Linked DNA regions of Macaca mulatta. The protein of the gene in region 1 purifies or fractionates together with the protein of each later gene. This does not show direct contact. Links are inferred from orthologs where the notes say so. Each region holds a gene or a part of one and is shown in the gene's direction. Other genes may lie near its edges.

Region 1 (7,479 bases):
TAAATATTAGGGCAAAAAGGGTTAAAATTTCACGATTTAAGCTTCCATCTCATGATGCTAGGGGAAAGAACCCAAAGGAAGTAGAAGGAGACAAATAATAGCAGTAAAAACAGAAACTAATGAAAAAGGCTGGGCGCAGTGGCTCACGCCTGTAACCCCAGCACTTTGGGAGGCTGAGGCGAGTGGATCACCTGAGGTCAGGAGTTTGAGACCAGTCTGACCAACATGGTGAAACCCCATCTCTACTGAAAATACAAAAATTAGCTGGGTGTGGTGGCCAGCACCTGTGATACCAGCTACTCAGGAGGCTGAAGCAGGAGAATCACTTGAACTCAGGAGGTGGAGGATGCAGTAAGCCAAGATCACGCCATTGCACTCCAGCCCGGACGTCAAGAGCGAAACTCTGTCTCAAAAAAAAAGCCAAAAAAAATAAAAAAAAAACTTTTTCATTAAACAAGAATTATTTGTTTATTCAGCTTTTTTCCTAAGGTAGTTTTTTTCAGAGACAAAATCTTAGCCAATGCATCTGCAATCCTCTAAGACCACGTCCCTCAGAGATTAGCTGCGAGGGGTCCACCAGCTTGACCTCCTTGAGGCTGTGCTTTACTGTCCGTCATGAGCCTTCAGAGAATCTCCTGAGTGCCTCATTTTGTTGGGGTTGTCCCTCAGTGACCCTTTAGAACTTGATTTATCTTGTATCTCTGGTACTGTCTAGAAGGTATGTAAAGCCCTCATCATGTTCTGTTTCAGTGCTTGAGCAACACTGCACCACTGACTGACTACTTTCTCAAAGATGAGTATGAAGCCGAAATCAACAGAGACAACCCTCTGGGGATGAAAGGGGAAATTGCAGAAGCCTATGCAGAGCTCATTAAGCAGATGTGGTCTGGAAGGGATGCCCATGTGGCACCTCGCATGTTCAAAGTAGGTAGACATATATATATATACAGGTTGAGTATCTCTGTATATAGATGCTTGGGACCAGAAATGTTTTGGGACTTCAGGTTTTTTAGGGTTTTTTTTTTTTTACAGTATTTCCATTACGCTTACTAGTTCAGCATCCCCATTCCAAAATCTAAAATGTTTCAATGAGCATTTCCTTTGAATATCGTGTCAGTGTTAGAAAGGTTATGGATCTTTGAGCATTTGGATTTCAGATTTTCGGGTAAAGGATACACTCCTGTACTTCCTTTTTCCCACTTTGGGGAGAGTGGTTTAGTGTTGTTATGAGGCATTCCTTTTGTTGCATTTTGGGATTAAGATGGGATCTGGGCCAGGCGCTGTGGCTCACGCCTATAATCCCAGCACTTTGGGAGGCCGAGGCAGGTGGATCACTAGGTCAAGAGATTGAGACCATCCTGGCCAACATGGTGAAGCCCCGTCTCTACTAAAAATACAAAAAGTAGCTAGGCGTGGTGGCGCATGCCTGTAGTCCCAGCTACTTGGGAGACTGAGGCAGGAGAATCACTTGAACCTGGGAGGTGGAGGTTGCAGTGAGCTGAGATTGCGCCACTGCAGTCCAACCTGGTGGCAGAGTAAGACTCCGTCTCCAAAAAAAAAAAAAAAAAAAAAAAAAGATGGGATCTGATGACCAGTCACGATGGCTCACGCCTGTAATCTCAGCACTTTGGGGGGCCAAGGTGGGTGGATCACCTGAGGTCAGGAGTTCAAGACCAGCCTGGCTAACATGGTGAAACCCCTTCTCTACTAAAAATACAAAAATTAGCTGGGCATGGTGGTGCACACTTGTAATCCCAGCTACGTGGGAGGCTGAGGCAGGAGAATTGCTTGAACCTGGGAGATGCAGATTGCAGTGAGCCAAGATCACACCACTGCACTCCAGCCTAGGCAACAGAGCAAGACTCCATCTCAAAAAAAAAAAAAAAAAAAAAAAAAAGATGGAATCTGAGACTAAAAGTACCACATTGTCAAACCCTTTTTTTCCTGTCATTCAGTCATTTAGCACACCCCTAAGTGTCTTCACTGCCCACCTCTGGGTTGGGGATGTCTCAGAAGTTATTTGTAAGCTGATTCCTCAGAATGCTGTATTCTGTGATGGCAGTATTTAAATGGTCAGTTTCCTAAGCCAGACTATAAAAATTCAGTTTCTTGGAAGGCTGAGGTGGGAGGATCCCTGGAGCCCAGGAGTTTGAGACCCGCCTGGGCAACATAGTGAGACTCCGTTTTTGTTTTGTTTTGTTTGAGACAGAGTCTGACTCTCTTCTTGCCCAGGTTGGAGTGCAGTGGCACGATCTTGGCTCACTGCAGCCTACACCTCCCGGGTTCAAGCGATTCTCATGCCTTAGCCTCCTGAGTAGCTGAGACTACAGGTGTGCACCACCATGCCTGGCTAATTTTAGTATTTTTAGTAGAGATGGGGTTTCGCCATGTTGACCAGGCTGGTCTCAAACTCCTGATCTCAGGGGATCTGCCTGCCCCAGCCTCTCAAAGTGCTGGGATTATAGGCATGAGCCACTGCGCCTGATCAAGTCTCTGTTTCTTTAAAAACAACAAAAAAGTTGGCCAGGCGCAGTGGCTCACGCCTGTAATCCCAGCACTTTGGGAGGCCGAGGCGGGCAGATCACGAAGTCAGGAGATCGAGACCATCCTGGCTAATATGGTGAAACCCTGTCTCTGCTAAAAATACAAAAAAAAAAAAAAAAAAATTAGCCAGGTGTGATGGCAGGCGCCTGTAGTCCCAGCTGCTCGGGAGGCTGAGGCAGGAGAATAGCATGAACCCGGGAGGCAGAGCTTGCAGTGAGCCGAGATCGTGCCTCTGCACTCCAGCCTGGGTGACAGAACGAGACTCCATCTCAAAGAAAAAACAACAACAACAAAAAAAGTCCGGGCATGGTGGCTCGTTCCTGTAATCCAGCACTTTGGGAGGCTGAGGTGGGCAGATCACGAGGTCAGGAGTTTGAGATCAGCCTGACCAACATAATGAAACCTCGTCTCTACTGAAAATACAAAAATTAGCCAGGTGTGATGGTGCCCACCTGTAATTCCAGCTACTCAGGAGGCTGAGGCAGGAGAATTGCTTGAACCTGGGAGGTGGAGGTTGCAGTGAGCTGAGATCGCACCACTGCACTCCAGCCTGAGCAACAGAGCGAGACTCTGTCTCTAAAACAACAACAAAATTAGCTGGACATGGTGATGTACCTATAGTCCCAGCTACCAGGGAGGCTGAGGTGGGAGGAATTACTTAAGCCTGACAGGTCAAGGCTGCAGTGAGCTGTGATTGTGCCACTGTACTCCAGCCTTGGCGACACAGACCCTGTCCCAGAATAAAAAAATAAAAAAGAATTGGGTGGCAACACACTGTGCTGAAGCTAATGTAAATAAACAACTAGAAGGTAGTGTTTAGGGATATTAGGGAAGTGTGGAGCTTCCTCAGTGATGGATGTGTTATATATTTGTACTGTGTTATGGCAGCCACCAGCTCAAGCACCTCTGAGCACTTGAGATGTGGTTCATTTGACCAAGGAACTGAATTTTTAATGGTTTTTAATTGTAATTAATATAAATTTAGGTTGCCATATGTGGCTAGTGGCTATGGTATTAGAGAACAGGTGTAGAACAGTGGTGCTCCATTTTTTTTTTTTTTTTTTTTTTGAGACAGAGTCTTGCTCTGTCGCACAGGCTGGAGTGCACTGGCACGATTTTGGCTCACTGCAGCCTCCGCCTCCTGGGTTCAAGCAATTCTCCTGCCTCAGCCTCCCGTGTAGCTGGGATTACAGGTGTGCACCACCATGCCCAGCTAATTTTTGTATTTTTAGTAGAGACCAGGTTTCACCATGTTGGCCAGGCTGGTCTTGAACTCCCAACCTCAGGTGATCTGCCTGCCTCAGCCTCCCAAAATTCTGCGATTACAGGCGTGAGCCACCGTGCCTGGCTGGTTCTCCATAGGATACATCACAGTCTCTGGGAGTGCTTAATACAACATAGACTGCTAGACCCATCCGCAGAGTTTCTGATTGAATGGGTTTGCTGTGGGGGCCTGAGAATGTGCATTTCTACTAAGCTCCCAGGTGATACTAATGCTGCTGGCTAGGGACCATACTCTCAGAATAACTGGTGGAGAATAATACTGGACAGACAGTATTTAGGGACCTGAGGGCTGTTATGTACAGGAGGATTCCTCCAGCTGATGAAAGTATCGTTTGTAATGTCCTTATGGAGTTTAAGACTCTGAACCAAAGAAGGACATGTTGGAGAGGGATTCATGTCAGTACTTGGGTGTGGTTACTCAGGATACCCCACCCTTCCTCCCTAGGACTTAAGGTAGTGGCCCAGGTTCCAGATTCATCCTCCTGGCTCTCTGATCTAGGCCTTCTCTCTGGTGGGAACCACTGGCCTCCTGTAGGCTCTTCAGGAGTTAATTGGACTACTCAACCAAGTGTTCTCTCTCACTACCCAGCTAACTCCTCAAAGCTATTTTTGATGATAGTTCTCATTTGATTTAACTAGTTCTTTACATATTATGCCTTCTGATGCAGTTGCTTTTGTTGTAGACTCAAGTGGGACGTTTTGCTCCTCAATTTTCTGGCTACCAGCAACAAGATTCTCAGGAGCTGTTAGCCTTTCTTCTAGATGGATTGCATGAAGATCTGAACCGAGTAAAGAAGAAGCCCTACTTGGAGCTGAAGGATGCCAATGGGCGGCCAGACGCGGTATGCCATTAATGATGTCTGAACGAAGAAGCTGCCTCATATTGAGAGTGCAGGGATATTCTTCTGGTCTTTTGAGTGTTGCTGCCAGGGCCCTGGTTGCTTCTCACTGTAGCTAGTTATAGGTATATGGTCTCTGGTCAGAAAAGGGCTAACTGTAGTTACTGCTATTTTTTTTTTGTAATAGAGACAAAATCTTGCTATGTTGTCTAGGCTGGTCTCCAGCTCCTGAGCTTAAGCAGTCCTCTTACCTTAGCCTCCCAAAGTGCTGAGATTACAACAGGCGTGAGCCACTGTCCCCTAGTTACTCCTAATGCTTCCTCTTGGGCTTTTTCAAATTTGAGTGAGCTTGTTTGATATTTCACTGGTGAACTAGGGACTAAGAACACTCTGAAAACTGTAAAGTGCCTGTAGTGAGGACCCCTAAGATTGTTATCGCTCACAATAAAAGCTATCTATGATTACTTAATTTGTTATTAATATCATTAGGACATTTATACTTTTTACCTTGATTTTCTGATCAGTGCAAGAGGATTTTAGTATTTCAGCTGCCCTGTCACATTGGGATAATCAATATGAATGCTTTAAAGTAAAATTTAGATCTTCTTAGAAAAACTGTGAGTTAGCTGAACTGTAGTATAGATAAAATTATTAAAATTTATTTGTTTATTTTTTTGAGATGGAGTCTCACTCTGTCACCCAGGCTGGAGTGCAATGATGCGATCTCGCTCACTGCATCCTCCACCTCCCGGGTTCAAGCGATTCTCCTGTCTCAGCCTCTTGAGTAGCTGGGACTATAGCCATGTACCACCACACCCGGCAAATTTTTGTATTTTTAGTAGAGAGGGGATTTCACCATGTTGGCCAGGCTAATCTTGAACTCCTGACCTAAGGTGATCCATCTGCCTCGGCCTCTCAAAGTGCTGGGATTTCAGGCATGAGCCACTGTGCCCGGCCAAAAACTACTTTAGATCACTGGAAACATATAGGGGGACTTTCCTTGTCCTGGCCATGTATCTGTACCCATAGTGTCCTCCGGGTTCTGTTTCCTATCAGGACACACAAACCCCTAGTTTCCAATAGGTCCTATGATGCCAACCTTATTAAGTGTGGGGATTACAACGAGGCACAGTGGCTTACCCCTGCGGTTCCAGCACTTTGGAGGCTGAGGTGGGAGCATCACTTGAGGCCAGGAGCTCTAGAACCATCTGGTCAACATAGTAAAACCCCCATCCCTACCAAAACTAAAAAAACATTAGCCAGGCATGGTGGGGCGTGCCTATAGTCCTAGCTACTTGGGAGTCTGAGGCAGGAAGATCGCTTTGAGCCCAGGAGTTCGAGGCTGTAGTGAACCATGGTCGTGCCAGCCTGAGCGACAGAGCAAGACCATGTCTCAATCAATCAATATAATATATATTTGAAATATATATATAAACATATATATGAAATATATATATGTGTGTTGGGGTGGGGATTGGGTGTAGAGCTGGCATGTGGTATGAGTATGATACACTAAGAGTAGTCCTGGCCTTGCTTGTCCTGGATCAAGCTCTTGGCTGTACAGATTGCCGCCTGATTCATCTCCAGGTTTGCTGTGAGTCATTCTGGATGCAGGGGCAAGGGACTGAGTGGTGTTGAGAATGTCCTATTTATCCCTTCATGCAGGTGGTGGCAAAGGAAGCCTGGGAGAATCACAGGTTGAGGAATGATTCTGTGATTGTGGATACTTTCCATGGCCTCTTCAAATCTACTTTGGTTTGTCCAGAATGTGCTAAGGTTTCGGTGACCTTTGACCCATTTTGCTATCTAACGCTCCCACTGCCCTTGAAGAAAGATCGAGTTATGGAGGTTTTCCTGGTTCCTGCTGACCCTCACTGCAGACCTACCCAGGTAACAGAATCCACACCCTCATGGCACCCCTCACTGCAAGTGGTCTCCAGATCCCAGTGGGACTGCTCCTATCTGCTGCATTGGATGCCTCTGAGTCCCCTTGGTACTTGCCTGGGTATGGGCCCTTGGCCTCCATCAGACCTTCATGTAATCCCATATCGTTTAAGGCCTATTGTGAAGGTCTTTGGGGCTTCTTTGCTTCTCTGTCACTTTTTTTTTTGAGACAGAGTTGCTCTGTCGCCCATTTTAGAGTGCAGTGGCACGATTTCAGCTCACTGTAACCTCTTCCTCCCAGGTTCAAGCGATTCTCCTACCTCAGCCACTCAGTAGCCGGGATTACAGGCGTGTACCTGTATGCTCAGCTAATTTTTGTATTTTTAGTAGAGACATAGTAGAGACAGGATGTTACCATGTTGGCCAGAACTCCTGACCTCAAGTAATCCGCCCATCTTGGCCTCCCAAAGTGTTGGGATTACAGGTGTGAGCCATCGCACCTGGCCTCTGTCACTTTTTTGGCCACTTCATTCACGCGACTAAAGTAACCTGATTTACTAAGTGGTTCTTGAATCTGAATGTTGGAGAACCAGAAGCAGGGTACTTTTTGTATTCAGATATACCCTCAAATCATCTAGGACAGCCTGTACAGAAGATTAGACCAGATGAGAGGTGTGAGCAGCAGGTCTTAGTGTCTAACCCTGCTGATGGCTCACTGAGTAATTGTATTGCTTAGTAGCTCTGTCTTTGGTTTCTTTATCTCTAAAGAAAGTTGAGGGCCAGGCGCGGTGGCTCACGCCTGTAATCCCAGCACTTTGGGACGCCAAGGCAGGCAGATCACAAGGTCAGGAGATCGAGACCATCCTGGCTAACATGGTGAAACCCCGTCTCTACTAAAAATACAAAAAATTAGCTGAGCATGGCGGTG
Region 2 (7,579 bases), on another chromosome or scaffold:
CCAACACAGTGAAACCCTGTCTCTACTAAAAATACAAAAATTAGCCAGGCATGGTGGTGGGTGCCTGTAATCTCAGCTTCTCGGGAGGCTGAGATAGGAGAACTGCTTCAACCCAGGAGACGGACGTTGCAGTGAGCTGGGATTGTGCCACTGTACTCCAGTCTCTGCGACAGAGTGAGACTCTCAAAAAAAAAAAAGACATTGCACCTTCTACATGGATTGTAGACCTAAATTGAAAATGAACACTATAAAACTCCTGGAAGACAACATAGGAGAAAACTTAACTGATCTTGGGAATGGCAATGACTTTTTAGGGCAATATCAATAGCATAATCTGTGAAAAATATAATTCATAAGCTGGACTTCATTAAAATGTAAAACTTCTGCTCTTCAAAAGAATGAGAAGACAAGCCACAGACTAGGAGAAAATATTATCAAAGACATATCTGATAAAGGACTGTTATCTACAATATACCTAGAACTCTTAAATCGCAACAGGAAAATAACACAATGTAAAAATGGGCAAAATACCTGAACAAACACTTCATCAAAGAAGATATACACATGGCAAGTAAGTATATGAAAAGATGTTCAATAGCATATGTCATTAGGGCATTGCATGTAAAACAATAAGATACTACTACACACTTATTTGAACGGCCAAAATCCAAAATACTGACACCACAAAATGCTGACAAGGATGTGGAGCACAGAAACCATCATTCACTGCCGGTGGGAATGCAAAAAATGATGCAGCCACTTTGAAAAACGGTTTGGTAGTTTCTCACAAAACTAAATATACCATCCAATCCAGCAGTTGCACTCCTTGGGATTTACTCAGATGAATTGAAAACTCATGTCTACACAAAAATCTGCACATGATGTAAAGGGGCTTTATTCATAATTGCCCAAACTTGGACGCCACCAAGATGTCTTTCAGCAGGTGAATGGATAAGTCGCAGCACATCCAGACGATGGAATATTATTATTCAGCACAAAAAAGAAATGAGCTATCAAGCCATGAAGAGACATGGAAGAACTTTAAAAGCATATTACTAAGTGAAAGAAGCCGATGTGAAAAGGCTGCATACTGTATGATTCCAACTATATGCGATTCTGGAAAAGGCAAAACTATGGAGACAGTAAAAGGAGCAGTGGTTGCCAGTGGTCAGGGGACTGAGAAGGATGAATAGGCAGAGGACAGAGGATTTTCAGGGCAGTGAAACTATCGTGGATGATACCATAATGGTGGATACATGTCATTATATATTTGTCAAAACCCACAGAATGTGCAACACCGAGAGAAAATGCTATTGTAAACTATGGACTCTGGGTGATAATGATGTGTCAAAGTAGGGTCATCAATTGTTACCAAATGTACCACTGTAGCACAAGATGTCCATAAGGGGACAAGTTGTGTGTGTGTGTGCCTATGTGTACAGGGGATATATGGGAACTCTCTACTTTCTGTTCAATTTTGCCCTGAACCAAAAACTGCTCTAGAAGTGTTGGTTAATAACAGTAAAAGACAAAGACCCCTTCTGACCTAGGGAATCTCTGGTGATGGATGGGGAGGGCGAAGTAGTCCCCTAGAAAGTGGAAATTTTACAAAGTTCTTCAACTGATTTTGTAGAGCTAGGTTTGGAACTGCTACCCTACTCTATGCTACTCGCCCAAGTAGTGGTTCCCAAACCAGGTGTCAGGCTTCAAGGCCATGCAATATTCCTCATTACACTGTCTTGGCCCCAAACACATGCTTTCCCCTCTCCCTACAAATCAAGACTCTAAAATGCCAAGGGTAGAAGAGCAGTACTTTCCCGTGTACTGAATATGGGGGAAGGGAGAGCAGTCAAGCATGGACTGGCTATTCTAAGCCCCAAATGGGCTGAAGCTGATAACGCTTTGAAGATCGACCACGGCAGAAATATCTTGTTTTCTTTAATCCATCAGGGGGTTGTCCCACTTATTGAGTCCCACAGCTGCGGTATAGCACGGAGGGGGCCTCCCTGAAAGTCCTCCGCTCCAGCTCTCCGATTGGCGCTGGGGGAACAGGAGGGGAAGCGGAGGCTTTGCATCGAGCCTGCAACACGGGGCCCGGGCATCGAGGCCGAGGAGTCGTGGGTAGAGCCCCGATTTCAGCCAAGATGGCATAGGACGTAAGTAAGCGTGGAAAGCAAAATGGCTACGCAAGCGCAATTCTGTAAGGCCGAAGGGACGTTCTTCCAACCTCTTAAATTTCCCGGGCGCCACGCCCCTCAGTTGCTTGCCCTGGATTCCAAGGTGTCGCGCGGGAAGTGACCTCACGGCGGTGGCGTGGAGACGTGGGGGCGCTTCCGGCGGCGGCGGCGGCGGCGGTGACGGCCGAAGCTGTAGGGGTGGGCGTGGAGAGAGTTCTTCTGTGGGTCCTCTGGTATTGCGTGGTCGGCTTGGTGTGGTGTGCGGAGGAGCTCCAGGCCCGTCGGGGCGGAGGTGGGAGCGAAGGGAAGAGGCTGCTGGTGTGTGGACGCTCGTGGGAGGGGGATGCCGGGCTTGCTTTAGGCTTCGGAGTTCCAGGCCTCATAGACCTTTATAGAGGAAGGCAGGCAAGAGCTGGGGGCTTCATCGGGTTCGCAGGGGGCCAGGTACTATGGGCGGCCGCAGGAGTTTGGTTTGAGGTGGGAGGCTGAGGACTGCAGGATTCTAAATAGTACGGGGATTGTGTGAGGCGTGAGGCATTAGCTGCTTGGGCCCTTAGTCCAGCCTTGTTGGTGGCTGCTGTAGTTCATTGGCTCACTGATTTCTTCATGCCTCAGTTTCCCTTTGCATAATGAGATATGGTGGCAGAGAAGAACGCCAGTGCCACATCCATGACTAATAGCTTGAGGACAGAGGTGAACTGGAGGGTAGAAAAAGAGGATGCCTGAGAAATTTATACTTACCAGGTCACATCTTCTGAATCCCAGGAAGTTATCCCTGGATTCATTTCTGCCTTTGGTGCAAGTCTGTGGTTCTTATCAGTACTCTTTGTGTGATATTGATTGTATTTATCAATACTTGACTTGTTGAGTGGCTAAAGTGTTTTGGTTTGTGGGAGGCATAGCCCTTGTTGGCTTGGTCAATTGATTTTCAATTAATCTCCCAGTAGCAATTGCTTCGCCTAACTCTGCAATTGGGATATTAGTTGAAAATCAACTGACCAAGCCAACAATCTTCTCCTCTGGTTACAGATAAGGAACTCACGACCCAGAATGGTTTTTCTTTTCTTCCCTAGCCACAGACCAAACCGATTTCAGTCTGCTGTCTCAAATACAGGTCTTCACCCCACCAAAACAGAAATGGCTGTCTCCAAGCAGTTTAGTATTTCAGCTGGACACCCAGATGGATCCTAATCTTTTTTTTTTTTTTTTTTAATGAATGGCAGATTAGGTGTACTGAGCACAAAATTCTCTTAGCTGGTTTCTCTGTATGATGTAAAAATGGTTGTAAAAACATGACTTTTTGTTTATTACCAAATTCTTGGTAGAGCTTCCTTGGCATAGGGTTATGGGGCTAGAAAAGTGTCTCAAAATTTTTGACCTGTGACCTGCAGTTAGATATATTTTACATCACGACATTACTCATTGTGCCCCTGCACACTCAGTGTCTACACACACACACAGCCCCACCCACCGATGAAAAGTTTACTTACCCTTTCTACAGAAGATGCATTCTAAAAAAAAATTGGTTGCAACGCACTAAATTGTGTCTGAGCCCTAATAGGTCGTGAGGTATAGTTTGAAAAATATTAAGGGCGGGCACTGTGGCTCACGCCCGTAATCCCAGCACTTTGGGAGACTGAGGCGGGTGGATCACCTGAGGTCAGGAGTTGGAGACCAGTCTGGCCAACATGGTGAAACCCTGTCTCTACTAAAAATATAAAACTTAGCTGAGTGTGATGGTGGGTACCTGTAATCCCAGCTACTTGGGAGGCTGAGGCAGGAGAAACTCTTGAATCCAGGAGGCAGTGAGCCAAGATAGTGCTATTGCACTCCAGCCTGGGCAACAAGAGCCAAACTCTGTCTCAAAAAAAAAAAAGAGAAGAAAAATATTAGACTAGGGCCGAGTGCAGTGGTGAGAGGATTGCTTAAGGCCAGCCTGGGCAACATAGCAAGACTCTGTCTCTAAGAAAAACAACATTAGAAAATGCTTAAAATCTTTGCCATTTGTGAGATTCTGTAATTAATACATTATCATTTTTCTTTCTTTTTTTTTTTTTTTTTTTTTTGAGACGGAGTCTCGCTCTGTCGCCCAGGCTGGGGTGCAGTGGCCGGCTCTCAGCTCACTGCAAGCTCGGCCTCCCGGGTTTACGCCATTCTCTTGCCTCAGCCTCCCAAGTAGCTGGGACTGCAGGCGCCTGCCACCTCGCCCGGCTAGTTTTTTTGTATTTTTTAGTAGAGACGGAGTTTCACCCTGTTAGCCAGGATGGTCTTGATCTCCTGACCTCGTGATCCGCCCGTCTTGGCCTCCCAAAGTGCTGAGATTACAGGCTTGAGCCACCGCGCCCAGCCTCATTTTTCTTTTCTTATTCAGAGAAGGGCTTACTAGATTTCTCCTAAATTCAGCCAGAACAGCAGGACAGGACATCCAAATTGTGTCTCAAAGGAGTATAGTGACCATAATGATAGTGTGTCAGAATTTTAGCAAGGCATTTATGAAGTCTTTTTTTTTTTTTTTTTTGAGATGGAGTCTCATTCCATTGCCCAGGTTGGACAGAGTACAGTGGCACAATCTCTGCTTACTGTAACTTCCGCCTTCTAGGTTCAAGCGATTCTCCTGCCTCAGTCTTCCAAGTACCTGGGATTACAGGCATGCGTCACCACGCCTGGCTAATTTTTGTATTTTTAGTAGAGATGGGGTTTCACCATGTTGGCCAGGCTGGTCTCGAACTCCTGACCTCAGGTGATCCACCCATCTCAGCCTCCCAAAGTGCTGGGATTACAGGTGTGAGCCACTGCGCCTGGTCTTACTAAGTCTTATGATAACCGAGTGGGTGAGATGGAGGAATTTGCCAGATTGTGGTAGAATTAGATGGAGTCATGAGTTTGAGCATCTGTGTATGGAGATTTGATTTGTGAGCACTACTTGCAGCTGGAATTCTGGTGATCTGAACTGGGGTTTCATCACTTTATACAATTCATGTATTTGAAACCTTATCTAGAAGGTTTGCTTATTGGATTTGGTGCCTTTATGAAGTAAAGAAAGAGTCATTTGGTTGATGATTGCCAGAATGGGAAGAGATCTCAATATATTTACTCAGTGCTGTTTAATGAAATGGAAGAAGCTTGTATAAATGTTGAGAAATTGTGCTTGGGTCCAAAAAAAAAATCAACTATACCTATTGGGGGAGGGTGGAGATGTAACCTCACAGGAATTCCTGTAATAAAAAGATTTGGTGTTTTAATCACCAGTCAGTGGTGTGGTTAAGAAGGCTGTGAGAAGAACTGATGTGACCTGCATTAGTATATTGTGTTAGGAAAATACAAAACGTAGAATGAGAAAGGTTGCATCATTGGTAGGCTTGTACCTGGAATATTAGGTTTGGATCTAGATGTGCTAAGAGTAAATTTATGGGCAGAAGTCAAAAGTCTGAAGATATGGTGGTGTTGCTTTAGCATGAGTGATTGTTTTTCTCCTTGTCATTTCAGACTTTCAGGTATAGGCCGGGTTATTGGTCTTAAAACTTCTTCTTGAGAATGTCTGAAAGACTGGGGAATCTGTTAGATCTTATATACTTCTAAGTTGGCACCTGAAACTTTTCATCGTAGATTTAAATAGTGTAAGTATTTAATTTTAAATAGTTTAGGATGTAATTTCTGACAAGTAAATATTGACTTCTTAAAAATAAATATAAAATTACCTAAATACAGTATCAATTTGATGTTTTAAAAACATACAACTAAACTTTTGAAACAGACTAAGAAATATATAACATGGCTTGTTACATTACTTGATTTTCAGACTTTAAGCCCATCTTGCATTTGTGAAATGAACCCTACTTAGTCATGTATCTACTACTTTTTACATGTAAATGGATTCAATTTGCTAACATTTTGTTAAGAATTTTTGTGACTATGTTCATGATAGATTTTGGTCTGAGGTTTCCTTTTTTTTATGTCATCTTTGGCCTTAGTAGCAGAGTAATTATGACCTCATAAAATGAATTGAGAAGTGTTCCTTCCTCCTCTGTTTTCTGAAAGAGTTTGTGTAGGATTGGTATTATTTCTTACATGTTTTATAGAATTTACCAGTGAAGTCCTATGGCCCTGGGTTTTTCTCTCTAGGAAGATTTTACTAATTCAATTTCATAATACAGTTAGTTGAGTTAGTTTTGGTCATTTTTATCATTTTGGGAGTTTGTCCATTACATATTTTTCCTTTTTCTTTTTGAACTTGTATCCATTCCACTTTTCCCACAGAATTTTATCCTAAAGCAAAAGTCAACTTGCTGCGAAAGACCAGATGAAAGACTTTATGAGCCAAGTGGTTTCTGTGATTACTGCTCAACTATCACTGTAGTGAGAAAACAGCCATAGACAATATGTGGCCGGGCGCAGTGGCTCACGCCTGTAATCCCAGCGCTTTGGGAGGCCAAGGCAGGTGGATCTCGGGGTCAGGAGATCGAGACCATCCTGGCTAACACGGTGAAACCCCGTCTCTACTAAAAAATACAAAAAAAATTAGCCAGGCGTGGTGGCAGGCGCCTGTAGTCCCAGCTACTCGGGAGGCTGAGGCAGGAGAATAGCGTGCACCCGGGAGGCGGAGCTTGCAGTGAGCTGAGATCACACCACTGCACTCCAGTCTGGTTGACAGAGGGAGACTTCATCTCAAAAAAAAAAAAAAAAAAGCCAGGTGTGGTGGTGGGCGCCTGTAGTCCCAGCTATTCAGGAGGCTGAGGCCAGACCCAGTCTCTACTAAAAATACAAAAGTTAGCTGGGAGTGGTGGCAGGCACCTGTAGTCCCAGCTACTTGGGAGGCTGAGGCAGGAGAATCGCTTGAACCTGGGAGGTGGAGGTTGCAGTGAGCCGAGATCGCTCCACTGCACTCCAGCCTGGGTGATATAGCAAGACTGCATCTCAAAAAAAACCCCCAAAAAACAGAAAACAGCCGTAGATGATATGCAAGTATTTGTGTGTAGTTGTGTTCCAATAAAACTTTATTGGTAGCAGACCAGCTCTGGCTTAGGGCTGTAGTTTTCCTACCCATCCTAAAGTAATAAATTTTATGCTTGAAAATTTAAAATTGATCATCTAGTTATCCACACAAATCAGGATTATGACAGTAGTGTGGAAATCGATTCCCTTGCTTGCATATCTTTATGTACCCCCTAGGGATATGTGTATTCTAGTTTAAAGACCAGGACTTGATTTCCAAGATGTTGTAGAGGGAATTCATGTATTTTTGTCATTTTGTTTGGGTGAGAAGTGAGGTGGCCCTCACAGTGTTAATTTTCCAGGGCCGTAACTTAGGTTCCCTATGTGAACGGTATTCTTTTTTTTTTTTTTTGAGACGGAGTCTCGCTCTGTCGCCCAGGCTGGAGTGCAGTGGCCGGATCTCAGCTGTG

What was found.
Region 2: the proteins of USP4 (region 1) and EDC3 purify together in Homo sapiens (co-immunoprecipitation; 3 studies listed by BioGRID and IntAct, with this or other methods). This does not show direct contact. The link is inferred for Macaca mulatta from reciprocal best matches to the Homo sapiens genes USP4 and EDC3.

Annotation. Positions count from the first base shown.
Region 1 is NC_133407.1:112,739,987-112,747,465, reverse strand, and holds part of USP4 (ubiquitin carboxyl-terminal hydrolase 4), read left to right. Parts: intron 1-264; exon of another isoform or gene 265-442; intron 443-750; coding exon 751-924; exon of another isoform or gene 925-1,304; intron 1,305-1,487; exon of another isoform or gene 1,488-1,578; intron 1,579-4,511; coding exon 4,512-4,670; exon of another isoform or gene 4,671-4,847; intron 4,848-6,332; coding exon 6,333-6,557; exon of another isoform or gene 6,558-7,010; intron 7,011-7,479.
Region 2 is NC_133412.1:52,624,910-52,632,488, reverse strand, and holds the start of EDC3 (enhancer of mRNA-decapping protein 3), read left to right. Parts: upstream 1-2,300; 5' UTR 2,301-2,469; exon of another isoform or gene 2,470-2,495; intron 2,496-5,663; exon of another isoform or gene 5,664-5,794; intron 5,795-7,579. UniProt on the Homo sapiens protein: Binds single-stranded RNA. Involved in the process of mRNA degradation and in the positive regulation of mRNA decapping. May play a role in spermiogenesis and oogenesis.